Oryctolagus cuniculus: one gene and its partners. The main gene of each other region encodes a partner of the protein of the gene in region 4 in a complex. Links are inferred from orthologs where the notes say so. Each region holds a gene or a part of one and is shown on either strand. Other genes may lie near its edges.

Region 1 (4,102 bases), on a different chromosome or scaffold from region 4:
TTTGATAATTTTACGTAATAATAAACTTACCTTGAATAGCACTTCATATAATACCGACCAAATGTAGTCAGCAGGAGAAAAACAAAAAAAGAAACCATTAATTACAAATCTACTTAAAATTAAATTTAAAAATAACTGAAACCATTATATACTTAAAATAAAATCAGCTTTCACACAATGTCAGCCAGGTTACAAACTAGCTTATTATTTGTGAGAACTATACCATGTAATACTACTAATAAAATAACCCCAACATTTTCAAGACCCACATACCCATATTCCCTATTGTCTATAAGAAAGCAGATTAGGAACTGTTATTTGTCACTCACTATAATCAGCTTAACCTCTCAGGAAACTATTCTGGCAAACAAAAGAGGATTAGAATTCTACTAACAAGCACGGATCTCCCCCAGCACACCACGGTGACAATCAGGCTTTTGAATAAAGGAGAACATTCAGTTACAACTGCTATCCTCAGGCCCCAAAGATGCTTTACCTTTAAATTTTTGGAAGTTTCTTCTGAATCATACTTTCTCAACACTACACGTCAAACATTATTCGCTTTATGTTTCTAAAGTTCAACAATTAAGTTACTGTCAATCATGTTTACCTTGGTACAGGTGGAAGAGCTCGTGGAGGCCGCTATGGGGGGTGGGAGGGAGGAAGAAAACTGTGGATAAGTAAAAGCCTGGGCATCTTCATGTAATCTCAAATACCCTTAAGTTCTTTCAACAGCCTGCTGTTCAGAGTGACAGAAAAATCTGATGGGCCACCGGTGAGGGCACCCTGACGGGTAATGGTAGAATCAGGGTTAAAGGACAGTAAAGGCCAAGCACACGCCCCAGGGTCAGAACAACGGAAGGAGTCTGGGTTTTGTTCTAATTCAACAGGAAGCCAATAGAAGTTTTCCGCCACTTTGTAACGTGCGCAGCAAGTAACAGTGCCACAGACAGGATTTTAGGGCAGAAAGGTTGATATGAATGAGAAAACTCGTGTTAGCAGTGCAGACAGCACTGCAGCTAAGATGCATTCTGGAATCCTTCAAAATCAACAATTTAAGGGTCCACGGATCTCGCTACTTGCAGGAGACAGCGCGGTTAAATTCTAGATACTAGGAGTTGGTCTCACCCAGCCATCCTTCTGTTCAAATAGTACATGAATGCAAATACTCCAAGATCCAGGACAAGGCTGACTGTCTTAATCCTATGCAGTGGTCAAACATTACACTGGAAAGGAGTCGCACGAAAGCGCCGCTGTTCTAAAGATGCTACGAAGCGCGTTCCAGCCCAAGGTCCAGTGCACTTGCTAACTCCCTCATTCAAACATCCCGCAAAAATGACGTTTCACCCACAGCAGAAACCCAACCTCTAAGCCCCTCTAAAGCAGGACGGCTCAACCCGAGACAAGAATCCTAACCGCTCAAACATAACCACCGCTCGCTTACCACCTGCTTCTTCCCCATTCTGTCTAAAGCCGGGCCCGTAGGCCTCCGGCCCCTGGGACGTGCGGCGCCACCCCCGCCCGCCCGCCCGGCCGCCCGCGCAGGCGCAGTGCGTCATCGGGCTGCGCGGCCCAGGCCGCTTCGGGCCCGCAGACCCCTCGGTGGGCTGTAGGGCGAGGGGGCTGTGGGTACCGGGGCCGGGCCTGACCTCTGCAGACTGGCCGTGCGGGAAACTGGGCTTAGGAGCCTGGGCTGACGGGCCGAAAGCAGAGGCTCCGGCGGCCGTGGGGCTCCAATCACGGTTTCCCCAGGGTTTGCTGTGATTTGTCTGCGGGGCGTGAGGGAGGACCTGGGTTTAAAAGCTCCGCAGCCACAACGCTCTCTTTCCGGGCGGAAGGCCCGGCGCTCCCGACGGAGCCTGGAAGAGCCGCTCGCTGGCAGCCGCGGAGCCCGCCCAGCCGGGGCGGCGGCGGACGGAGGCTGCGTCGTGGCAACGCGAGCTCAGGCCCCCGGACACTCCCGGCCAGCTCCGGGGTCCAGTAACGGCCCACGGGGCCGGGGCCAGTAGGGCAGGCCGCTGCTGCCCCCCACCGCTGGCCTCTGCCCCGCTCCGAGGGCTGCTGCTGCCCCAGGGGACCCTCGTGGCCGCCGCGCTCCCTCCCCACTCACCGGGCGGCCCTCCTCCACACGAAACCGCGAGTCGTCCCTCATGGCGATCGCCCCGCGGGGCTCCCTCAGGGCAACGGCCTCGGCCCGAGCCGGGCTCCCCGCGCCGCGCCGGCCTCCGGGACCTGCGGGAGGCGGCGGCTTCGCAGCGCCCGGCGAGACCGCTGACGCCCGAGCCGGGTCCCCGCCCGCCTCTGCTCTGCCTGGCCCCGCGTCTCCGGGCTCTGGGGTAGGGAGGAACGCCCGGACGCCCCGGGCTGGACACTCCCCGGCGGGACTCCGGGTGGGCGTGTGTATTGAAATAATTCTCACACCGTCTCCGACAGTGCGTAATAAACAATTGAAATAAACAGTTCTCACAGCGTCTACCGACAGTGCGTAAATCGAATCAGAAACCTTCTCAAAGAGCCACAACAGAAAATTAAATCAGCCTATCTAAATATCGTTTAAAATGACTGCATTTTCTGTTTTATTTGGATATTTTTAGAAAGGGAACTTATTTTTAAGTTTAAAAAAATGAGTCATTACATGCTTTATAGAAAGCGATGGGAGGGCTGGAATGGGTAGGGTGAGAGAGTGATGCAGAAGATGAACTGATAAGGGGCCGGGAGAGCTACTGGGGGGTCCCAGATACAGGGGAAGAAAGAAAAAGACCCTAGCATAGCATCCTCATCTCGTGGCTTTCTTCTAGGGACTATGCAGGAGACTTGCGGTATCTCAGTATCTCGAGGTGTTGATGTTACCCATGAAATGTGTACATTAACCTTTCTTGCTGAGTTAGCCAAGTAGATACTTTGTGTAAAAGGCATTCACAAAACAGAAGTTTCATAAAGTGCATTTCCGAAATTAAATACTGCTCATTTTATTTAGGAAAGCTCCTTTTAACTGAATCTTGGAAAGACCTGAAGTCCCTAAGAAGCGCTCATTCTTGGTGACGTTATTGATATGCCCACCACAACCGCATCGAAGGGGAAGGAAAAGAGAAAGGTTTCCCTAAATGCCAAATGTGTCACTCTGCACAGCCTTGCAATATAATACAGAGCCATACTGTTGCGATACTGTTAATGAACTGCAGCACTTATCCAGTTGCACACACTAACATGGGTCAGTACTGCTGTTAAGACAGCAGCTGTTATTCCAGGTCTCCCCGACAAGGCTGCAGCGCTAAAACTCCAGCCCGAAGCAGGGGACCTCATGAAGACTCGGTGTCGGAGGAAATCCACGTGGCGGGGACCCACTGAGGCTCCTCCTGAGCCTTCTGTACAACAGATAACAACCGGGCACACGCATCTTGCAAGTTGTCATTCACAATCACGTAATCAAAAAACTGGCCAAACTGAGCCTCCATTTTTTGGGCCAAATCCTCCATCTCTTGTAGGTCTTCATCCTTCAAATGAAACAGAAAAAGGCAGGTAGCACGGACTTCATGAGACAAATAGAAATAATACACGCGGATGCTGTCACATTCGTTGTGAAGCTATTTATTTAAAAGCAAGTAGGCTAGATGTTCGAAATGCGAACATCAATTTCAAATGAAAGTGAATAAGAAAAATATGACTTTGCAAATACAAAATGGCTGCTTTTAGCATGAGAGTGAGACCTGGCTATGTCGACTTGGACGTCCCTAACTCACTGTAATATTTTCTATTTCTACTATTATGAAATGTTCATTCTGTGAAGGCATTTGGCCTTCACTGGGCATTAAAACATTAAATTAATTGCTGTTATTTTAATGTGTCCATGAGCACTCAAAATACAAATTTTGCTGCAATACTCCCTTAAAAGGTGACCAAGTATGATAGTGACCATACATATGATAGTGAAACAAGTTTGCCATCAAAATGAGAACACAATTTTAAATGCCCCAGTGACTCAGAGAAGTCAGCCCCAGACTGTATCTGAAAGGCAAACTGGAGAATCAGACTTTCGTAGTCATTGAAAAAAGTAGGAAGATAAAAGTAACAAGATGGAGGATGATACAAAGGTGACTTGAGG
Region 2 (3,987 bases), on a different chromosome or scaffold from region 4:
AAAAGGCAGAGTGCCAGGTGAGAGAGAAGAGAATGAAAAAGGAAATCTGCCATTTGCTGGTTACCTCCTCAGAGGGGGCAACATCAGGGCCTGGACCAATTCAAAGCCAGGAGCGCGTGCTGCATTCCGCCCTCCAAGCTCCTGAGTCCACTGCCTGCTGTCTGCTCAGACGCACCCCAGGAATCTGGGACTCAGCGGGCGCTCTGAGGTGCAGGCGCCACCAAGCCGGCCCCTGCGGGCCTATTGAAGACATCCATAGACGGTGACTCCTTCAGTCTGGAACAATCCCACAAGCTGGGTGCTGTCATTCACCCTGATGGGGGACAAACGGGAATAGATGCAAATGACGCTGGCCTCAAGTCTTCATGAAGCAGAAGCCCTGTGTACCCCACCCCGTGTGTCCGCGAGGACCAGGACCTGACGCCCTGCAGTCCTCGTTACCAGGGCTGCACGGAGCAGGCACGCACGACCGTGGCGTTCCCAGCTGTCTGTCAGGAACCTTCTTTCTCGGATGGCGCTACCTGTGTGCATGCTGTCCTGTGCACCTTGCTGCCTCCCCGGTCCTCCACGTGTGCAGCCCCCGCGGTAGGAGGCGCGGCTGGGCGGGACTCCCGGTCCTGAGGACCAGGCTGCCCTGGACGCGGAGGCGGGGAGAGGCGCTCAGGACCTCAGGCGCCCGCGTGCACCCGCCCCACGGCCCGGACCGCTGGGCCCGGGGACGCCGCTCGCTCACAGCACTGGCGGCGAACGTGCAGTCGCTGGGAGGGCCCGGACCGCTGGGCCTTGAGCAGCCTGGGGAACTCCGCAAGGGAAGGGAAGCCCCGCCCCAGCCTCTGAGTGTCTGAGAAGAGGTTGTTTCCGAAGTCGAGGCCGGGGGATGCACAGAATGACCCGAGGGAATTCCCCCGAGCTCAGGCTCAAGTCTCTCATGTGGGGTTCAGGACGGGAGACAGGTGTTCTTTAGGGGGAGGAGGCGGGCCGCGAAGCTTATTTTGACACATTTCCTGGAGAGGCTCTGCAGCACAAACAGTCGGCGCTCAAACTTCCCGGCCACACTCAAGATGGCAACTGCCCGACCACGCCCCCAACGGCGGATCCCGGGGCCGGGGCTTGGGAGAGGCTACGGAGAGATGTCCATCACGGCATTGCCCCGCCCCCGAGGACAGCGAGCACCAATCGGCCGCGTGCAGGGCGGGGGCAAGGCCAGGGGAGGAGCCTGCTGTTGTCCCAGCAACGGCCAGGGAGCCTGAGGCGAGGGCGGTCGCGGAGGTTCGCGCCTTAGCGCCCTTGCTGTCAGGGAGGTCCCACGGGAGGCGCGAGGCCGGCGTCGCTGGCGCCCGCGAAGAGGACGGAGTCGGCCCAGAACCAGCATCCGGCTGCCGCATTCGCTCCCACTAGCCGTTAAGCTCTGTGAGGTAGGAGTGACGCATGCGCAACGAGTAGGGGCGGGGCCGAGGTGTTCGGAGGCGGGCCTCGATTCAATACGCATGCGTCGTCGAGCCTGTGGCGGGGCTATCAGCCGCGGGGAGGCGGAGCTTTGATGGCTGTGGGTGGAGCTCTCGGCCCCTTAGCGGGACTTAGCCAGGTCAGGAAGAGGTTTAAGGAGGGCATAGTTAGGCACCGGTTCCCAAGTCTAGGGCTACTCCCCCCATCTCCCGGGGAGACAGAGTCGGTGGATAACTCTGCATCCTCAGAGGGTTGACAAAACCAGGTTGGTGGCCTTCTGCCCCTTGCTTGGGCCTCAGTTTCCCTACTCAGAGCTGATTGTTTCTTTTCCCTCCCAGCGCCATGGCTGAGGTGCACGTGATCGGGCAGATCATGGGGGCCACCGGGTTCTCGGAAAGTAGCCTCTTCTGCAAGTGGGGCATCCACACAGGTATTCCCCCCAGGCCTGGTCACTGCCCACCAAGACCCCGCGCTCTCCCTGGACCCTCCGCCCCACCCCGGGTCCTCCTCTCCCCATGGGCTTTCAGCACTCCCGGCCCTGGCCAAGGCTGGCCGCGTGAGGCCCGCACTTCCTTCCTGCCCCGTCTCCGGGGACCCTGGCTCCCACCCTCGGCATGCATGGCCATTGACGATGATGGGCTAGGGGGAGACCCCATCCACACGCTTCATGTCAGAGCGCTCCTGTTAACTCCACTTGCTGCCTTGGGGGTGTGTCCTGGGATCCTCCCCAGCTTTCTCGTTCTTTGACTAGCAGCCTCCATTTATTGAGTTCTTACTGTAAAGTAGAAGTTTGCACCCCAGACTTACAGAGGAGAGGCCACATCCTGTCGTCAGAATGCCTTTCGCTCTGAGAAGGCAGCAATCATCCAAGTCCACACGGCCCAGCAGGGACTTGGAGACCCAGTGTTTCTGTAGGTCTGCATGGAGGCCAGACCTTGTAGAGGTGCAGTGTGATGGCCAGGGTCATAGGCAGCCACATCTGGGTTCAGATACTAAGTCCCCATGTATGTATCTGTGGCCTCTGGACTTGACCTCTCCAGCCCTCGGTCTCCTTGTCTGAGAGGAACGGCACGGTGTGGATAGCAGCTGAGAGGCGGTGTGGCGTCGAGGTTAGGAGCACAGACTGCCTGGGTCCTAACCAGGTGTTTATGTTTTTTAAGGTTTATTTATCTATTTGAAAGGCAGAGTTACAGAGGCTGAGGCAGAGAGAGAGAGAGAGAGAGAGAGAGAGTCTTCCATTCGCTGGTTCATCCCTCAAATGGCTGCAACGGCCAGAGCTGAGCGAATTTGGAACCAGGAGTTGTTGGGTCTCCCACGTGGGTGCAGGGGCCCAAGCACTTGGGCCATCTTCTCCTGCTTTCCCAGGCCATAGTAGAGAGCTGGATCGGAAGTGGAGCAGCTGGGGCTCAAATGGGGCCCATGTGGGAAGCTGGCACCGTAGACAGCCTCTTATTAATAGGTGACGTTAGGGCCTTGTTTGTGCGTCTGCTTCCTTGTGTGCACATGGGAGCAGTAACAACGTGTGCCTCGCGGATCTTTGCCAGGCCTAGGGGAGCATGCGCAGCACGCAGAGCAGGGCTGGCTGGTGCTGTGTGCCTGGCTCGCGGGTGACTCCGACAGGGTCCCATTAGTGAAGCCCAGGCACGTGGCTGCCCAGCCCCAGTAACAACCTATGAGGTAGACGTGGCTGCGTCTCGGGCTTGGGTCCCTTGGACCTGACTTGGATGGGTGAAGTCGCAGGATCAGAGTCGGGCTCAGGAGTCAGACTCCATGTCTACCCGGGACCCCAGCACTCACCTGCTCTGTGATCCCGGGCTGCTGTCCTTTTCTTGGGGCTGTTTAAGTAATCTTGTGTCTACGCAGCCTGACTCAGGGCTTCCCTCACCAAGGCCAGAGGGAGTCATGCTTGGCTTTTATTATCGCAGGTGGCTTTGGGGCATTGAATCCAGCAGGGAGCTCAGAGACAGTGGCCGAGGGGCCTGGTCGCTGCAGTTGGACATTTTACAGACTTCTGCGCTTGGGGATCTTTGGGTGCTGTGGTCACTGCTGTATCCCCAGAGTGGAGAACAGGCTTGGCATACCCTAGGTGCTCAATAAATGTTCATGGAATAATTAACCAAGTGACTTCCTTCTCAGAGCCTGTTTCTGTACTTGGAAAATGGTAATCATAGCACACATAGCTTCTAGGGTCACTTAATTGTCCCAAAAAATATGTATCGACCACCTTCTGTATACCACGCACTGGGGATCCCGCCATGTGCATGGGCCAAGCTCTCCTGAAGCTCATTCTACGAGCGTCAGACACTATATAAGCCGCTGAAGAAACTTAACTCAGTGATTTCCAGTGGCGACAGTGCTGGGGAGAGAGAGAGGCAATGGCTATAGAGGGCGGGTGTTTAGCTCGGGGTTAGGACCTGCACATCCCGCCGCACACCTGGCTGCTGGCTTAGCTCCCTGCTAATGCCAGCCCTGGCAGGCAGCAGGGATGGCCTAAGTGACTGGGTTCCTCCCGCTTACGTAGGAGACATGGGTTGTGTTCCC
Region 3 (3,500 bases), on a different chromosome or scaffold from region 4:
TCATTATATTGATTCATTTTAACTCCTAACATTCTAGCATGTAGCAATTTTTCTCCTGTCATTCCAGTTCACAAAATCTTGTATATGTCATCTTCTCACATACGGTAAAATTTCTCTAGGGCAGTATTTTTTGAAGTTTTTTTTTTTTTTTTTAAAGGTTTGATACACAGATGCATGTGTATTCTGATTTGTTTGATAGGAAGAAAAGTTTTAGTAAACAACTCAGGCTTACCACTTACCGTCTTCCACTGGCCAGGACCCTCTAAATTATAAGCCTCTAAGGGATCATATCTGACATTTGATTTCATGTTTGATTAGCAGTCATGAAACTGAATTAGCAAATTGATCACCATTTAAAAAAATGGAATATATTTTGTGGTATTATGGGAATTTTTTATATCAAAACTGTTTGACATTAAAATGCATATTGATCTTTTCACATCTACATAAAGACATATGAGGAGCTCAGGTAACTTTGAAAAACCAATATGGTTGTAGACTTACCCAGGAGTGGGATTAAGGGGAAAAATATAGCTACATAGTATAATACACTTTATTTTCTTTTCTATATTCTATTATTATTAGTAAAAGAATTATACCTGGAGCAGATGCTGTGGCATAGTGGGTAAAGCTGCCACCTGCAGTGCCAGCATCCCATATGGATGCCGGTTCAAGTCCTGGCTGCTCCACTTCCAATCCAGCTCTCTGCTATGGCCTGGGAGAGCTGAAAAAGATGGCCCAAGTCGTTGGGCCCCTGCACCCATCTGGGAGACCTAGAAGAAGCTTCAGACTCCTGGCTTTGGATTGGCCCGGCTGAAGCCGTTTGGGGAGTGAACTAGCAAATGAAGACCTCTGTCTGTCTCTACCTCTGCTCCCTGTAATTTGGCCTTTCAGATAAATAAATCTTTAAAAATAAACAAAAAATTGTACCTGAACACTGGAAAGGCCAGGGTATGGAAGGCTTCTTGAAAAGAAAGATTTCCAGAGCTTGGGCTTGGTAACATCAAAATTTATCCTTAGTGGAGAATCATATTGTTGAATATTAAACCAAACCTAAAAAAACAATACCATATTAGCATATATGTTAACCAAAATACACACACGTCTCTGGTGTGTGTGCATATTGTATGGACACATAGACTGTACATGTTTTCTTTCCTGACCCTGCTTTTCCAGCTCCCAAAATTAAATGTGTACCTCTTTGTTTCTACAGCCCTCCGCACCTGTCTTGTTGAGGCAGTGTGGCATGTTGGTTGTGGAACTAGACTACAAGCACTTGAATTTTGACCCTAACACTTTTCAATTGTCTGACCTTGGATGATTTATCTAACTTTTGTTCCTCAGTTTTCTCATCTATAAGAATGGAATAATAACAACTACTTCATAAGGCTAAGCGATTCAGAGTTGATTTACCTGTACTTATTAGAATAATGCATAGATATGTAGTAAGTGCTCAATAACTATTAGCTGTTCTGTCATTATTTGTCAGTTTGTAACTGCCTGGTTATTTATCTGCATCTTCACTATTGTTTTAAACTTTCGCCTTGAGAATGTTCACCATAGGCGTTACTTGCCATTCAGTCTTTAGCACTAGCTTACCTCGTGGCATATTCTAGTCATATTGAATGATATGTCTAGCACAGATTAAGTTTTCATCTAACTGGTGTTCAGTCCTAGGTTTATTAATCGGGTTAAGTAGTGAACGAAACAGTTCTAAGGAGTATCTAGGCCGGCGCCACGGCTCACTAGGCTAATCCTCCGCCTGCGGCGCCGGCACCACCAGGTTCTAGTCCCGGTCGGGGCGCTGGATTCTGTCCAGGTTGCCCCTCTTCCAGGCCAGCTCTTTGCTGTGGCCCGGGAGTGCAGTGGAGGATGGTCCAAGTGCTTGGGCCCCGCACCCCATGGGAGACCAGGAGAAGCACCTGGCTCCTGCCATCGGATCAGCACGGTGCACCAGCCGCAGCACTCCGGCCATTGGAGGGTGAACCAACGGCAAAGGAAGACCTTTCTGTCTGTCTACTCTGCCTGTCAAAAAAAAAAAAAAAAAAAAAGTATCTAATGAGTAATGAGATGATATATCGGAGGCAGGCATTGCAGCACAGCAGATAAAGCTGCCTTTCCCATAAGGGCACCGAATTGAGTCTCTGCTGTTTCACCTCCAATCCAGCTCCCTGCTAATGTGCTAAAGCAGCAGAAGATGGTCCAGGTACTTGGGCCCCTGCACCCACGTGGGAGACCCAGAAGAAGCTCCTGGCTTCTGTCTGGCCCAGCTTTGGCTGTTGTAGCCATCTGGGGAGTGAACCAACAGATGAAAGATCTCTTGTCTCTCCTTTTCTAACTCTGCTTTTCAAATAAAATAGAACTTAAAAAAAAAAAAAAATGTGGGGCCAGCATTGTGGGTAGAGCCACTGCCTGTGATGCTGGCATCCATATGGATGCTGGTTTGAGTTCTGGCCGCTCCACTTCCAATCCAGCTCTCTGCTGGTGTGCCTGGAGAACAGTGGAGGATGGCCCAATTCCCTGGGCCCCTGCACCCACGTGAGAGACCTAGAAGAAGCTCTTGGCTCCCAACCAGCTCAGCTCAGGCTATTACAGCCATTTGTGGAGTGAACCAGTGGACCAAAGAGCTCTCTCTCTTCCTCTCTTTCAAGTAAATAATCTTCAAAAAGATACAGCAAACAAATCAGCAAGTAAGTACATGGGATATAGATGGTGTTGAAGGATAAGATAGATTGTATCATTAGCTTCAATTCTCTTCCTCTATGGCTATCTTTTTTCAGGTTACTTTGCAGTTGCTTCCATTAAGAAAGATGAGAAACACTTCCCTGCCACTTGGCTTTGGTTTGTTGTTGTGTCACCCCTGAGTCTAGGCTAAGGGGCTTTGCCCTGTTGTGCCTCTGCCACTGTCAGGGCCCTGAGTTCCATAGTAAACATGAAGCAGAGCTGCTCAGCCGCAGCCAAGTTTCCCAGCTAACCCACAAATCTATGAAAATAGATACTTGAAGCCATTTAGTTTGGAGTTGGGTTTTTACGATATTATGATAATAATTAAATGTGCACAGGCCATGGAGAAAACTAAGTTGCAGGAACAGAAGAAATTTTGATGGGCAAGGAATTTTTCCTGGGGGAAAAAAAAACCGACATTTGATCAGAAATGCAAGAAATGAGGGAGAAGTTTGTGAATCTAATCAGTAAAGGTGGGAGGGGTATTGGGAAGGCATTGGTGGTCATTTATGCAAAGGAAATAGCAAATGCGAAGTGTGTTTGATTGTTGAATAACAAGGAATACAAAGTGGCTTTAGAGGAGTGGGCACGTTGGAAAGATAACAGCAAAGGAAGGGGAGAAGGCAGGGGTAGGCAGGGTGGATGTCAGATCAAGGAGGCTTTGTAGGCCATTTTGAAGGTTTTGGCTATGATGTATTGGGAAGACAGTAGAAGAGTGACAATTTGTCTTCTGTCTCAGCAGAAATTTGCTTACTGTTTGAAACTAGAAAGAAGTG
Region 4 (3,500 bases):
AATATTTAAGATAAGCACATATAAAAAGAATAAATCAAGAACTGTTATTTCCAGGAGAAGTTAACAAGTTTTACAAGTATATAGTTGCAAGTTTATACTACAGAATTTACATGTAGGGCTAAATACTAGAGCGGCAGTATAATAAAATTAAAGTTTTTACAAGGCCATTTCCCTGAAGTGACTTCTACCCACTTTACCTGAATTTCATCCAGATACTGGACAAGTTCATAGTTCTTTTTAGACAACTGAGATCGATAATCACTGTCTTCTCCTCTTCTTGATAACAGTGTTTCTTTTTGTGAATCTATTTGTTTTTGGTAGTCGATAATATCCTGACGCAGCTGTTCATTCTGAAGGTACACCAAGTGCAACGTTGAATTAAGAAACTACCCAGGACAACAAATTGCATTCTCTAACTAATGTTCTGAGAATATACCTTTACATTCCCAAAGTTTCACTACCCTTAGTGTCTCACCTTTTTCTTTAGACGTTTGTTCTCCAGAAAAGAACAGGAAAAAAAGTAATTAGAAATGAGAGAAGCAATAAATAACTAAAAGTAATAAGGGAATTAAAGGAAAAAAGAGAAATTTAAGAGAATGAAATATATTATTTTAGATAACCAAAAGTGTAAGACTATTAATTATCATCCAAAACAAAGAACATTTTGTTTATGTTAAAATTATAAGAATGCCTATAAGAGTAAACAATGTACAAATAATATCAGGCTCAGAAGAACCAAATAATAAATTTTTAAAGATCTCATGAAAAAGCAAAAATTGTTAAACAATACTAGATAAAATGAGAGAAATAAGAACAGAAAATCAGTCATATTCAGTTAGCAAACAGGCAAAGAATGTTTATAGATCAGAAAGAAAGCTTTGCTCATACAGATTTAAAAGATAAATATGGTACTGAATAGTCTCATGTTTTATTTACTAATTCCTTGAGATGAAGTTATATCACAAAATCACTCATTTTGAAAATATCACTTAGAAGACTCCAGTTCTGGTCACCATGTAAACTTTTTTTTTTAAGAAATATCAGTGGAATCACTACAATTTTTTACCAACCTCTCTTCTTAATTTGCTGTTTTCATTTTCTGCCTCCTCATTGCGAAGAGCCAACTAAAATAGTAAAAAAAAAGTGAATAAGAAAAATTCAGCAATAATTCAACATAAAGTCAGGTTTTCAGCCAGTTAGTTTATATTCTAAACCCTCTCCAATAAAGTAAAAAAAACATTTAACTTCTAAGGACTTCTATCAACATAAAACATAAATAATAAGTCAATATTTTTGAAAACTAAGGATTAGGAAGGATAAACACAGAAAGAAAATTACACACAAAGAAATTGTAGGGGCTAGTGTTGTGGTGTAGTGAGTGAAGCAGCTGCCTGCCACGCTGGCATCCTATATGTAAGTTGGTCCCTGTCTCAATTCCTCCACTTCTGATGAGGCTCCCTACCAACCACCTGGGAAAAGCAGCAGAGGATGGCCCAGGAGCTTGGGCCCCTGCTATCCACATGGGAGACAAGGAGGAAGCACCTGGCTCTTGGCTTCAGCCTGGCCCAGTCCTGGCCATTGAAGCCTGATGAGGGAGTCAGCAGATAGAAGATCTCTCTTTTTTCTCCTTTCTGACTCTTCCTTCTCTCACTGTAATTCTGACTTTCAAATAAATAAATAAATCTTTTATTTGAAAAAAGAATGAATTTTAACTAAAAAATATAGAAGTAAACAAATCATTGTCCCCAAAGCACCTCAAAACTAAAATGAGTGGTTGTCTGTAAAGATCTTTATATTTTGTTGTTCTTGTCTCATGGCTAGAATACTCTTGCTCTCAGTGAATATTAAATCAGAAATACGAAGTAATCCAACATAATCATTAATAGAAGTCATCTGAAATCAGATTGCACTAGGTTTATATCCCTGGTCAATCAATTTCTAGTAAAACATGAACAAGTCACTTCATCTATTAAATCCACTTTTCCTATCTCATCTCAGATCAGCACAGCTCCGGCTGTTGCGGCCAACTGGGGAGTGAACCATTGGATAGAAGACCTCTCTCTTTCTCTCTCTCTGCCTCTCCTCGCTCTGTGTAACTCTGACTTTCAAATAAATAAATAAATCTTAAGAAAAAAAGAAGAAACCAATGCTGCCAACATCTGCACTTCACACCCTCAGTTTTCAGAACTGTGACAGTAGATTTCTGTTATTAAACCACACAGTTTATGCTAAAAAAAGTTAAAATTATAATTATGAAATAAATGCAATGTAAGACTTGGAGTATATTTTCTAAGCTCCTTTGATTGTCCAAGAATATTATAGAGATCTTGATTAACATAAAATTTTAAGTTGAGCAAGCATATAAAAATTATGAGTAAATAATTTTTATGAGCATATAAGAATTATGGGGAATGAACCAGCAGGTGGAAGACCTCCCTCTCTTTCTTTCCTCTGCCTCTACTTCTCTCTTTCTCTGTATAACTCTAACTTTCAAATAAATAAATAAAATCTTTAAAAAAATAATTAAATAAGAAGTATATAAATTTTTTAGCATAATGCTCAATGAATGTAACAGCAAAAACTTAGTGTGTTGTTTTCCACACAAAATTGATTTCACCATATCCATCCTTTAAAAAAGGTATTGTTTCATAACCATAATATAACTAATATGCCAAAAATTTTAAAATTGATTGAATAATCTTGTCCATTATCAATTTTCCTCTGTTGTCTCAATAATTTCCTTTGTAGACTCTTAATAATAACCAAGCTTCCGCAAGGCTCACATACTGATGATTCTTCATCATAGACTTTAAAATACAGTTTCATGGCCGGCGCCGCGGCTCACTAGGCTAATCCTCCGCCTAGCAGCGCCGGCACACCAGGTTCTAGTCCCGGTCGGGGCGCCGGAATCTGTCCCGGTTGCCCCTCTTCCAGGCCAGCCCTCTGCTGTGGCCAGGGAGTGCAGTGGAGGATGGCCCAGGTGCTTGGGCCCTGCACCCCATGGGAGACCAGGAAAAGCACCTGGCTCCTGGCTCCTGCCATCGGATCAGCGCGGTGCGCCGGCGGCAGCGCGCAGGCCGCGGCGGCCATTGGAGGGTGAACCAACGGCAAAGGAAGACCTTTCTCTCTGTCTCTCTCTCTTACTGTCCACTCCGCCTGTAAAAAAAAAAAAAAAAAAAAAAAAAAATACAGTTTCATACCATAATTATCTTATATTCTTTTTAAATAAAGGATAAAATAAGAAAAAAGAAAGGTTGTAAAGGAAATTGGTTTTAGTGCATAGATTTTAAAAATCTAAATTATTGTACTTGTGTACTGGAGAAACAACTAGAACAACAACTTGTGGAACAACTGTGCATTCTTAGAATCTTCTGCAAAATCAAAAATAAATATTAATGAGATCTTTTATGAAATAGTGCAGCAAATTTAAAGAGAAACCCCAGTGCCTGGGAAGGCCTACCAAAAGTCATCATGTCAGCTGCTTTAATATACTAAATGTG
Region 5 (3,500 bases), on a different chromosome or scaffold from region 4:
GGCCAGGGCATTAACCCGCTGTGCCACAGCGCCGGTCCCACTTTTTTTTTTTTAAGATTTATTTTATTTGAAAGGCAGAGTTACAGAGAGAGGTAGAGGTAGAGATAGAGAGAGGTCTTCTATCCACTGGTTCACTCCCAAGATGGCTGCAAGGGCTGGAGCTGTGCCAATCTGAAGTCTAGGAGCCAGAAGCTTCTTCCAGGTCTCCCACAAGGGTGCAGGGGCTCAAGGACTTGGGCCATCTTCTTCTGCTTTCCCAGGCCATAGCAGAGAGCTGGATCGGAAGTGGAGCAGCCGGGATTAGAACCGGTGCCCATATGGGATGCCAGCGCTTCAGGCCAGGGCTTTAACCCGCTGTGCCACAGCACCAGCCTCCATTCTTACCTTTTTTTTTCTTTTTTTTTGACAGGCAGAGTGGACAGTGAGAGAGAGAGACAGAGAGAAAGGTCTTCCTTTGCCGTTGGTTCACCCTCCAATGGCCGCCGCGGCCGGCGCACCGTGCTGATCCGATGGCAGGAGCCAGGTGCTTCTCCTGGTCTCCCATGGGGTGCAGGGCCCAAGCACTTGGGCCATCCTCCACTGCACTCCCTGGCCACAGCAGAGAGCTGGCCTGGAAGAGGGGCAACCGGGACAGAATCCGGCGCCCTGACCGGGACTAGAACCTGGTGTGCCGGCGCCGCAAGGCAGAGGATTAGCCTAGTGAGCCGCGGTGCCGGCCATTCTTACCTTTTGATTCAGCAACTCTACTTCAGGAAGTAGCATATCCTGAGGAAATAATTGGAGACATTTATAAAGATGTTTGTATAAGGAGGTCATTATAACATTATGTCATTATAACGTTATGTGGGGAAAATTAAAAACAACCTAAACCAGCAGTAGCGGATTGCTTGAACATGTTGGGTGAATAAGCTGGTATATGATGAAGCCATTTAATATAATATTGCAAAAACATGTTTGATGACCTGGGAAATAATTTGGCATTATTAAATGAGAAAGGACTTAAAGCAGTTTGTAGAATATGATTCCATTTCTTCCATGACTCTTCTCCGTACCATGTCTGTATCTATTCAGTTGATTATAGTTTGTGAGATCTAGGATTGGTTGAGGACTTGACTGTACCCTAACTTCTAAGCCCTAAACCTTCCAAATGACTTCACATTTTGTTCCCACAATCCTTTGAAGACAGCTTTATTCTAGACAAGGAGTTTTTGGTTTGTTTGGGTACAAACAGTTGCACAAAAAATTTGTGTAGTTGATTTTTTCAAAGTCTAATGGTTCATTATACCCTTATCTGTATTTTATACTTGACAAGAGCTCCTTAAAGGTTATCATATTTATCTTGATTTTTTTTTTTGTTAGAGAAAAGTTTCAAATGCCAAACACTTCAACACTTAAGAAATTAAATAGAAATGGACCGGAGAGGGCGTTTAGCCTCGCAGTTAGGACTCCGGACACTGGTATCCGTGACAGAGGACCCGTTCAAATCCCTGGCTGCAGCTTCTGACCCAGCCTCCTGCTGATGCACACTCTGGGCGGCAGCAGTGATGGCTCCAGTCCCTGGGTCCCTGTGACCCACGTAGGAGACCTGGGTGGAGCTCCTGCCTTGGGCATTTTGGCCATTTGGGGAGTGATCTGCAGATGAGAGTTCTGTCTCTCTGAATCTCAAATAAATTAAAAAATGAATTCTGGTGGTGCCGCGACTCAATAGGCTAATCCTCCGCCTGTGGCGCCGGGACACCGGGTTCTAGTCCTGGTCAGGGCGCCGGATTCTGTCCCAGTTGCTCCTCTTCCAGGCCAGCTCTCTGCTGTGGCCCGGGAGGGCAGCAGAGGATGACCCAAGTGCTTGGGCCCTGCACCCGCATGGGAGACCAGGAGAAGCACCTGGCTCCTAGCTTCGGATCAGTGCGCTGGCTGCAGCGGCCATTGGAGGGTGAACCAATGGAAAAAGGAAGACCTTTCTCTGTCTCTCTCACTGTCCACTCTGCCTGTCCAAAAAAAAAAAAAAAAAAATTCCAAGCTGTTTTCTTTTTTTTTTTTTTTTATTTATTTTTTTGACAGGCAGAGTGGACAGTGAGAGTAGAGACAGAGAGAAAGGTCTTCCTTTGCCGTTGGTTCACCCTCCAATGGCCGCCGTGGCTGTGGCTGGCGTACCACACTGATCCAAAGGCAGGAGCCAGGTGCTTCTCCTGGTCTCCCATGGGGTGCAGGGCCCAAGCACTTGGGCCATCCTCCACTGCACTCCCAGGCCCTAGTAGAGAGCTGACCTGGAAGAGGGGCAACCAGGACAGAATCCGGTGCCCCGACTGGGACTAGAACCCAGTGTGCCGGTGCCGCAAGGTGGAGGATTAGCCTATTGAGCCATGGCGCCGGCCCCAAGCTGTTTTCATAACTACCCTCCCTATAACTGTTAACGTAGGACAGTGCAAGCATGACACTTAAATAATTGTGCTGAGATTGTGTGCTCATGCCTTCACACTTGATGTTGTTATATTTAATTTTCAGGGGTGATAGCCAGTTTTGTAGTCAAAAGGCAGCCATCTATTCCTTGAATTTTACCTCAAACCCACCTCAGAGGATATTTAAACTTGTCGACCAGGTCAATCCATCTATTTTCTGCGTTCATATTACAAACTGTAAGTATTTGGATTGATGCATTTTGTGAAACTCTGGAATATAGTTCTTTCAAAGTTATGTTATGGAAAAATATCTTGCTCTTTTAGATTAAAGCAACCGTGTGGGTAGAATGTGTACCTTCTGAGGCTATTCCACAGTTATCTGCAAGTAACTTGTAGAGCTTTGGGCACCATGTTTTCTTTAAAAGTGACTGTGCTTGTTAGTTGTCTCTGGAAATTTTTTGCTTAATTTCAAACATGTTTATAATATGTGGACATAGGTACATGGAATCTGGATTTAATATGTATACATGTGATTTTCTTTTTTTCACTTTATTTCTTCCTGGTGTAATGGGTGAAAATTAGGTTCAGCTTTGAACAGTACCTGTGGTTTCTATTTCCTTTTTCTTTTTTATTTTTACTAAGAATATTTGCATGAAAACAGGATCTTTATTTTTATCTGAGCATTTAGCTCAGAGAAGGTCTAAATCCTGAGTACATGTGAGAGTAAAATGTTACCAAGGCGTCAGAGCCCGGAGACACAGCTGCGGCTTTATCAGTTAAATTCTGTCTTTTTGGAATGTCTGTGTGTATTTTGGTTTGTCCCCCTGTGACTGAAAACTTACATGAATGCTCGGCGATTTTTCGTCTGGATTGATGACTAGCCAGTGAGGGTCAGTGTCTCTGCATCACGCCAGTCTGGTGAACGTACCAGCCCGTTCCCTGCTCCTGGCTCCTCTGTGTGTAGCACTCTGGGCCAGCTGCCCCGTGGAGTTGCTGCAGAGCCTCACGCCCGTGGGCTCCAGAGGAGTTAGCTCTTGTGCTGTGATCTATCTTGTAGGACTGGAATCCATTGCTTCCCCCTCGTTCCAGAAGCAGGCTGAGCCC
Region 6 (2,768 bases), on a different chromosome or scaffold from region 4:
GGTCTCCCACAGGAACGAACACACCTGCTTGGAGCCTCTTGGGCATCAGGTTATGAATCAACACCACATGCAAGGACTTGGGAGCCAAGCCATGAGCCTTGAGGCCCAGCAAGAGTCAGCTGAGGCCTTCCAGCACTTTCCTCTGTCTTCCAAACTTCCTCCTCCCACCCCCATGCCTGGGAGACCACATGGTCCCACAGTCCTGAGCCTGCAGCCTGGGCAGCAAGTTCTGCCTCTACCAATAAAGGACAGCTAAGCATAAAGCTGCCGTTTCTATGCCTGGCCAGGGAGGGCGCGGCCACAGCCCTCTGCTCGCCCCAGATGTTGAAGAGGGTTGCTGCCAAGATGCAGGCTGGTGCTCTCCTGGAGGCCTCTTCTGGGGCTGAATGGAGAGTCCAAAGAATACTCTAGAGTGGGAACAGCAGCAGGGGCCCCAGCACTGAGACGAACCCCTCAGGCATGCCAGTGACCTGAGCAGAGAAGCAGCCACAGAACATCAGTCAATATAAAAAAGTTTTTATGCACAAAAGCACAATAAAAACACACTGCCCAGCTAACAGAAGGGACTAGGCACTGCCCTCAGCCTTCGCTTATGAAATGAGTCACATCTCCAGCTCAATAAGCCCCAAGCAATAGCAGAAGGCTGTGCTGGAAAGAGGCGGCTGAGACTGAGGGGCCAGTGGTTTAAGTCTCTCCTTCCTGTTTCTTGAAAGAAAATCGGTTCCATTTTGCAAGGCTGTGGGCAGGAACTGCCTGCTGTTCCCTACCACTGAGCCCGTGCAAGAGGCTGGGTCAAGAACAGGCTGACCGTGTGCTCACCCAAATGAGTCTCAGACCAGAAAGCCTGCCTTGCTGTGGAGCCCATCTGCAGCTGCTGAAATGTGAAGCGGGGCCACACGGGGCCACAGGATCACTGACTGTGCCAGCCCCTCTCTCGTCGTGTCTTCCTGCATGGTGGGCCAGGGCTGCGGTGGGCTAGGAGACCATGGTTCCTGAGGGGCTCACTAGGTCCTGGGGGAGGCTTTCCCGGGCCTCCTGCATGCGGCGCCGGGCTCGACGGAAGGCCTCTGCAGGAGAAGGAGACGCTGCCATGGTACAGGCAGGAACACGGCCCACATGGCCCTGGGCGGCCAGCTGGGGAGGGCAACCTACCCAGCACATTGTGAATGGAGCTCTGCTGGCTGAATCCCTCCAGACGGTCCAACACACTCCGCATCCTTTTCCGCAGGGAGCTTGATTCCATGAAGGCCCTGCAAGGAAGCCCACCTCACGGTTGGGGCATTGCCCGGCACCCAGGGATAAGGAGTCCCAAGGCACAGGGCCAGGGCCACTCACCTGGACTGCTGCAGACAGTGCAAGCGGAAGGTGACACTGCCTGTGGTCTCAGTGCGGAATCCAAAGCGGCTCAGACGCTCCCCCTGGGACATACGGATGGGACAGCATCAGGTTTCTGAGGTTTCTGGACCTGGGGCCCCACACTGGCCTTGCCGCCCTTCTGATTCTCATTCTCAGGAAGACCGTTTCCATCGGGGAGACCCTATCCCACCAGCTCAGGGCCAGTACCGGCTGCCCCACTGTGACCAGGGAGCCTGCAGAGCTCCTCTGAGACTAGGCAGCCTTGCCAGCCTCCTGCCACTCCTCCCCCACTGATTACTGAGCCCTTCGTTTTCCACAAGGAGCGTGGGAAAGCTCCAAGGGCACTCCTTTCTAGGGATCTCCTGGAGAGCAGAAGAGATCCCCCACCTGGTTCCAAACATGGCCATGACTTCCAGCGGAAGTCACAGGAAGCAAGCGCTAAGTAATGGGACGCAATGATGACCAAGGGGCCTTAACCCAGACTCTGCCTTCCAGAGAACAGAGAGACAGGAGTGTAAGTTCCCAGCATGGGGTCTCCTCAGACAAAAGCCACCTTGAAGGTTCCTGGTATCCGAACATAAGACAGGTCCTCCAGTTCCAAAGAACCGCCGATGAAAAACCTCCTGAGCTCAGCCAGCGTGCCAAGCTCCACTGGCCTCCATGTGGACACAGTCAGGGTATACGAGCCTGTGCAAGGGAGAAGGGAGTGGGGCCAGGTCCCGAAAGGGTACATGGCCCCTCTCTGACTCCTAGCAATGCCACGGGCCTGCACCACTGAGACCTGCAGTGATGGAGGAAGAAATGTCAGGGCTCGTGACGGCCTAGCCTCTGGTGAGGGCTATCACAGTGGTGACGAGCACCTGGGTGGAAACCAGTGAGACGGAAATGCAAATCTCGGCCGGGCCGTCTGTGACCTGTACACTCAAGGACAAAGTTTCAGAGCCTCCCAGAGCCTCTTTCCCCTCATCTAGTAAAATGCAAAGATGACGACCTACGCCCCACAGAGTGGCCACAAGAATTAACTGAGAAGCCTTTAGCTCAGGGTCTGCACTCCATAAAAGATCAGTGCTTTTATTTCAGAATGACTGCAGATCCCTTCAGTGTGTGCACTCAGGGCCCATCGCCCTGCAGCTTCTTCCTCAAGGCCATATTGCATCGGAAGAGCGCTGGGCAGAGAACAGAGGTGGCCAGGCTGCTCAGCTGCAGAAGTTAGCTCTGCTGTTGCTCAGATGTCTGCAACGGACTGGCAGCAATTCCTCACAGGAGAAGCTTCTCATCTCTTATGACCCTGCTGCTTATGAGAGACACGCACACCTTTTGGAAGTGTTAGTGTTGCCCCAGGACCCACAGCCTCTGGCACAGGGACGAGAGGTTACCTGGGGTGACAGGCAGCACCACAGCCCCGTAGCCTT
Region 7 (3,500 bases), on a different chromosome or scaffold from region 4:
AAACTGAAATAAAAAAGATATAACAAGTGATTAACAAGGCAACAATAAGTAAAGTAAGACAAAAGTAATCAGAAAAAAGACAAGAGAAAGCAAGAGGCAAAAAGGAAAGTTGAGGAAGGAGAAACTGAATATAGCTGAGGAACTGCAAAGTTACTATGCTGGCCTGAGGGATGTAGCCTGAACATTTGAAAGGTTTATGGCTGTTGACTATTTGTAGCTTTCAACAACTGTGTCTTAACCATTTAGGGCTCTAAACTCAATGGTTTAAAGAAGAAATCTATGTCACATTAGCAACAACAAAGTCAACATCATTCTTGAGTTGAATTAAATCAAAAAATATAACTCACCATAGACTCAGTTACAAATAAATGAATGTTTTAATCTAGACAAATCCAAGAAAAAGTGCTAAATATTCTATATTGGGTTATTTTCAATTATATCCTTTAGTTTTAGTTATAAGGTCTAAGCTTCTTAAAATTAAGTTTCTACCAAGGTACACAATTTTTCATTTACTTTGGATAACAAACCTGCTTTAACTTTCTTTTTTGTTTTTTTGGGCTTAGGTTTTATGTTTTCTTGCATGTTGTCTTCTGTGTTTTGTTCCATTGAGTTTATTTCATCATCTTGATGAGAATCTGAAGTAACTGCTTCAACTGGAGATTCCTTCTTTTGTTCACCTTCATCTGGGTCATTAGAGATGGTCAATGAACTGTAAATAAAATCCAAGGATAAGCCATTCCAAATATATTATTATATTACTTACTATTCACTTTATAAGAGAATGACCAGTGCATAGAAGCAAACACAATTTCAAAGTCAATATTTTCTGCTGGGAGATGCATACCACATTTTATTATACACTAAAATTGTTAGTGGCCAAACTAAGTATCATAGGCACTATGTAATTCTTGTAAAAGAGTTATATGCCTGTGAGCCAACTCAAACTAGGCTCAAAACCATAGGAGAAAATTCTATTTTATATGCAATGGATCTGTGTGATCAAAACATCTTCACTCTGCTGCCAAGAACAAACTGAAAAATGAAAAAAACTTCCATTTACTTATTTATTTATTTAAAAGACTGGGAGGGTGTGGAGGAGCTAGACATGGTAGAAGCCTCTAAAGGTGGCCCTGCTGATTGCTGCCTCTTGATACTCACGTCATTGTATACTCTTCTCCTGTTTGAGTGAAGGCTTGACCTAGTGACCCCCTTCTAATCGACAGAATATGCCAAAGAAATGGATGTCACTTCTAAGATCAGATTTCAAAAAGATCGTGACTTCTGTCTTGCTTGCACTCTCTCAGAGCACTCACTCTGGGGGAAGCAAGTGGCTATGTTGTGAGTAGCAAGGAGGTGAGAGGTGGCAAAAAGCTAGTCAGGACTGGGAACTTCCAACTGCCACATGCATGAGCGTAGAATTGGATTGTCCCCAAGGCCTTCTGACAGTTGTGCCACTTAGCAGAACCTCCCCTAGTCAAGGCTGGAGATAACTTGAGCCCTGGCCAACATCCTGATTGCTGGGGTGACAATCCTTTGAGAGTCAGAGGCACCCAATCTAGTCATTCTGAATCCTGACCCATACAAAGAGTAACACAATCAAATGCTTGGTGTTCTAAGCTGCTAAATTCTGCAGTAATTTTTTAATGCAGCAACGGAAAAATAAAACAGATACTAACATGTCCCTGTAGCAACCTGACTTACCTTCTCTTTGTTACAATTGATCTACTTTTTGGTGAGAGGGCAATTATTTTTAACCAAGGGCCTTAGGGATAATTTTCTTGTAATGCCAAGGAATAGTCACTTTAAAATGGTCCTACCTCAAGTTGTTTCTCTAAATTAGGATTGCAGGGGGAGAATGTTAATTATGGAAGTTAAAAGACATTTTTATCTGATGTTTTCTACAAGAAGAGAACCTATAAATATGAATATAAATCCATATCAAATACACACACACACACACACACACGCACACATATATGTAAGAGCAGCATATACAGAAAAAGACTAGATTATCAAATTGTTAATACTGATTATCTTTGGATGGTTGTGCTCCAATAACAAAATGTTATTTGAGCAAGAGAAGGCACATTTATATATCCAAGTAGACATCTATAACTCAAAAAGCTGGAAATAATTAGGTTTCTATTATTTTAAAAGCAGACAGACTCATAAGTGTATAGTTAAGGGTGGAGTCTGGAATTAGACTACCAAATTTCTGGCTCTATCTCTTACTAGTTCTGTGATTTAAACCCCAGTTTCCTCACAGCAAACAGAGTGAAAATATGACTTTCACTTATGGGAATACATGAGTTAACTCTTGCAAAGAACTGAGTACTCTGAGGTGCTACCTAGAACATCAGTTGTCACTATCTTAGTGCAATGTCAACTAATCAAAGACTAAGAATGCTCTTTTGTTTAATACAGGTATCACTCTTCAGTTGAAAATAACAGTTTTCTCAAGAAGACAATTTCTGGCTATCAATGCAAAGTACCTTGTCTCAGCTTTACATGGAACTGGAACTTTCTTTTTTTTCTTCTTTCTTTTCTCACTGCTTAACTTGTCATCATGCAACAAAGTATCAGAAGGAAAGTAAGTCAGCTGCTCTTTCAGTTTCTTTTTTATTTTCTTCTTAATCTCCTTGGCCATTTCCTCAGCTACCTGGAGCTGATACGCTTGCATCAGTTCTTCTTCCTCTTCCACATCGGCATGTTCCCGCCCCTCCTCGGCTTTCTCATTTTTCTGATGATCCACACCGGGCTGCGACTTTGGTCGTGCTTTCTGATGTGCAGAATCTGCCTTCTTCTCCGGAGTGCCCACTTCCATTTCCTGTGCAGTCACCTGGGGCGCTGTCTTCCCAGCCTTTCTGTTCGGCTTTCCTTGCTTGTCTTCCTCTACACTAGCATCATCATGTGGACTTTCAGCTGCAGACTGAGTATTCCTCAATTTGTTTTTACTGACTCGCATGCCCTTCTCTGGGTTATCTGTGTTAGTAGCTTTTACATCACCACTTTCACTTTCTTTAATATTCTGAAGATTGCTTCTAACAGCGTCAGCCTAAGAAAAGAAGACACAAGAACAAATTTTCAGCTAAGCATAGTTTGCTTACATGAACAGTTTGATTTATATTATATTAGGAAGATTATTGAGTTTTTTACTTGGAATCAATGAGTCTGTTTTAGAGCGTTTGAGGAAATTTCTCATAGTTTACATTCCAAGATTTATATTAGTAAACCCTAAAAGTAACTTAAGATCAAGTGAGTTATTAACATGGGGAAAGTATACATGGATGTTTCAGAAATGAATTAATTGTTCAACTCTCAAATGCTATTTTCCTCATTGGCAGAATGATCCACACTCTAATCTAGCTAAGAAATACTTGAGAAATTGCTGAAGGAGTCACGAAGTACAAAATATTTCAAGTTCCTAAACAGAAAATGTACCAGCTCATTGATTTGGCTTCATAATTACACTCCCCACTTAAAAAATCTATAGCTCAGGG

What was found.
Region 1: CEP290 (region 4) and TMEM237 share a complex: the UniProt entries of both Homo sapiens proteins name them as parts of the tectonic-like complex. The link is inferred for Oryctolagus cuniculus from reciprocal best matches to the Homo sapiens genes CEP290 and TMEM237.
Region 2: CEP290 (region 4) and B9D2 share a complex: the UniProt entries of both Homo sapiens proteins name them as parts of the tectonic-like complex. The link is inferred for Oryctolagus cuniculus from reciprocal best matches to the Homo sapiens genes CEP290 and B9D2.
Region 3: CEP290 (region 4) and CC2D2A share a complex: the UniProt entries of both Homo sapiens proteins name them as parts of the tectonic-like complex. The link is inferred for Oryctolagus cuniculus from reciprocal best matches to the Homo sapiens genes CEP290 and CC2D2A.
Region 5: CEP290 (region 4) and TCTN1 share a complex: the UniProt entries of both Homo sapiens proteins name them as parts of the tectonic-like complex. The link is inferred for Oryctolagus cuniculus from reciprocal best matches to the Homo sapiens genes CEP290 and TCTN1.
Region 6: CEP290 (region 4) and MKS1 share a complex: the UniProt entries of both Homo sapiens proteins name them as parts of the tectonic-like complex. The link is inferred for Oryctolagus cuniculus from reciprocal best matches to the Homo sapiens genes CEP290 and MKS1.
Region 7: CEP290 (region 4) and AHI1 share a complex: the UniProt entries of both Homo sapiens proteins name them as parts of the tectonic-like complex. The link is inferred for Oryctolagus cuniculus from reciprocal best matches to the Homo sapiens genes CEP290 and AHI1.

What each region holds. Positions count from the first base shown.
Region 1 is NC_091434.1:38,296,981-38,301,082, reverse strand, and holds the start of TMEM237 (transmembrane protein 237), read right to left. Parts: upstream 2,801-4,102; 5' UTR 2,153-2,800; coding exon 2,111-2,152; intron 643-2,110; coding exon 611-642; intron 42-610; coding exon 31-41; intron 1-30. Other genes in the region: MPP4 (MAGUK p55 subfamily member 4), read right to left, coding at 3,300-3,494. UniProt on the Homo sapiens protein: Component of the transition zone in primary cilia. Required for ciliogenesis.
Region 2 is NC_091449.1:13,268,936-13,272,922, forward strand, and holds the start of B9D2 (B9 domain-containing protein 2), read left to right. Parts: upstream 1-1,187; 5' UTR 1,188-1,415; intron 1,416-1,489; exon of another isoform or gene 1,490-1,711; intron 1,712-1,784; 5' UTR 1,785-1,788; coding exon 1,789-1,876; intron 1,877-3,987. UniProt on the Homo sapiens protein: Component of the tectonic-like complex, a complex localized at the transition zone of primary cilia and acting as a barrier that prevents diffusion of transmembrane proteins between the cilia and plasma membranes.
Region 3 is NC_091433.1:10,626,688-10,630,187, reverse strand, and holds part of CC2D2A (coiled-coil and C2 domain-containing protein 2A), read right to left. Parts: intron 1,054-3,500; coding exon 931-1,053; intron 1-930. UniProt on the Homo sapiens protein: Component of the tectonic-like complex, a complex localized at the transition zone of primary cilia and acting as a barrier that prevents diffusion of transmembrane proteins between the cilia and plasma membranes.
Region 4 is NC_091442.1:90,797,009-90,800,508, forward strand, and holds part of CEP290 (centrosomal protein of 290 kDa), read right to left. Parts: intron 1,125-3,500; coding exon 1,071-1,124; intron 497-1,070; coding exon 476-496; intron 351-475; coding exon 198-350; intron 1-197. UniProt on the Homo sapiens protein: Involved in early and late steps in cilia formation. Its association with CCP110 is required for inhibition of primary cilia formation by CCP110.
Region 5 is NC_091452.1:8,283,571-8,287,070, forward strand, and holds part of TCTN1 (tectonic-1), read left to right. Parts: intron 1-2,502; coding exon 2,503-2,633; intron 2,634-3,500. UniProt on the Homo sapiens protein: Component of the tectonic-like complex, a complex localized at the transition zone of primary cilia and acting as a barrier that prevents diffusion of transmembrane proteins between the cilia and plasma membranes.
Region 6 is NC_091448.1:33,633,795-33,636,562, forward strand, and holds the end of MKS1 (tectonic-like complex member MKS1), read right to left. Parts: coding exon 2,733-2,768; intron 2,044-2,732; coding exon 1,910-2,043; intron 1,419-1,909; coding exon 1,336-1,418; intron 1,251-1,335; coding exon 1,153-1,250; intron 1,068-1,152; coding exon 976-1,067; coding exon of another isoform or gene 911-975; 3' UTR 501-910; downstream 1-500. UniProt on the Homo sapiens protein: Component of the tectonic-like complex, a complex localized at the transition zone of primary cilia and acting as a barrier that prevents diffusion of transmembrane proteins between the cilia and plasma membranes.
Region 7 is NC_091436.1:33,446,153-33,449,652, reverse strand, and holds part of AHI1 (jouberin), read right to left. Parts: intron 3,056-3,500; coding exon 2,493-3,055; intron 710-2,492; coding exon 528-709; intron 1-527. UniProt on the Homo sapiens protein: Involved in vesicle trafficking and required for ciliogenesis, formation of primary non-motile cilium, and recruitment of RAB8A to the basal body of primary cilium.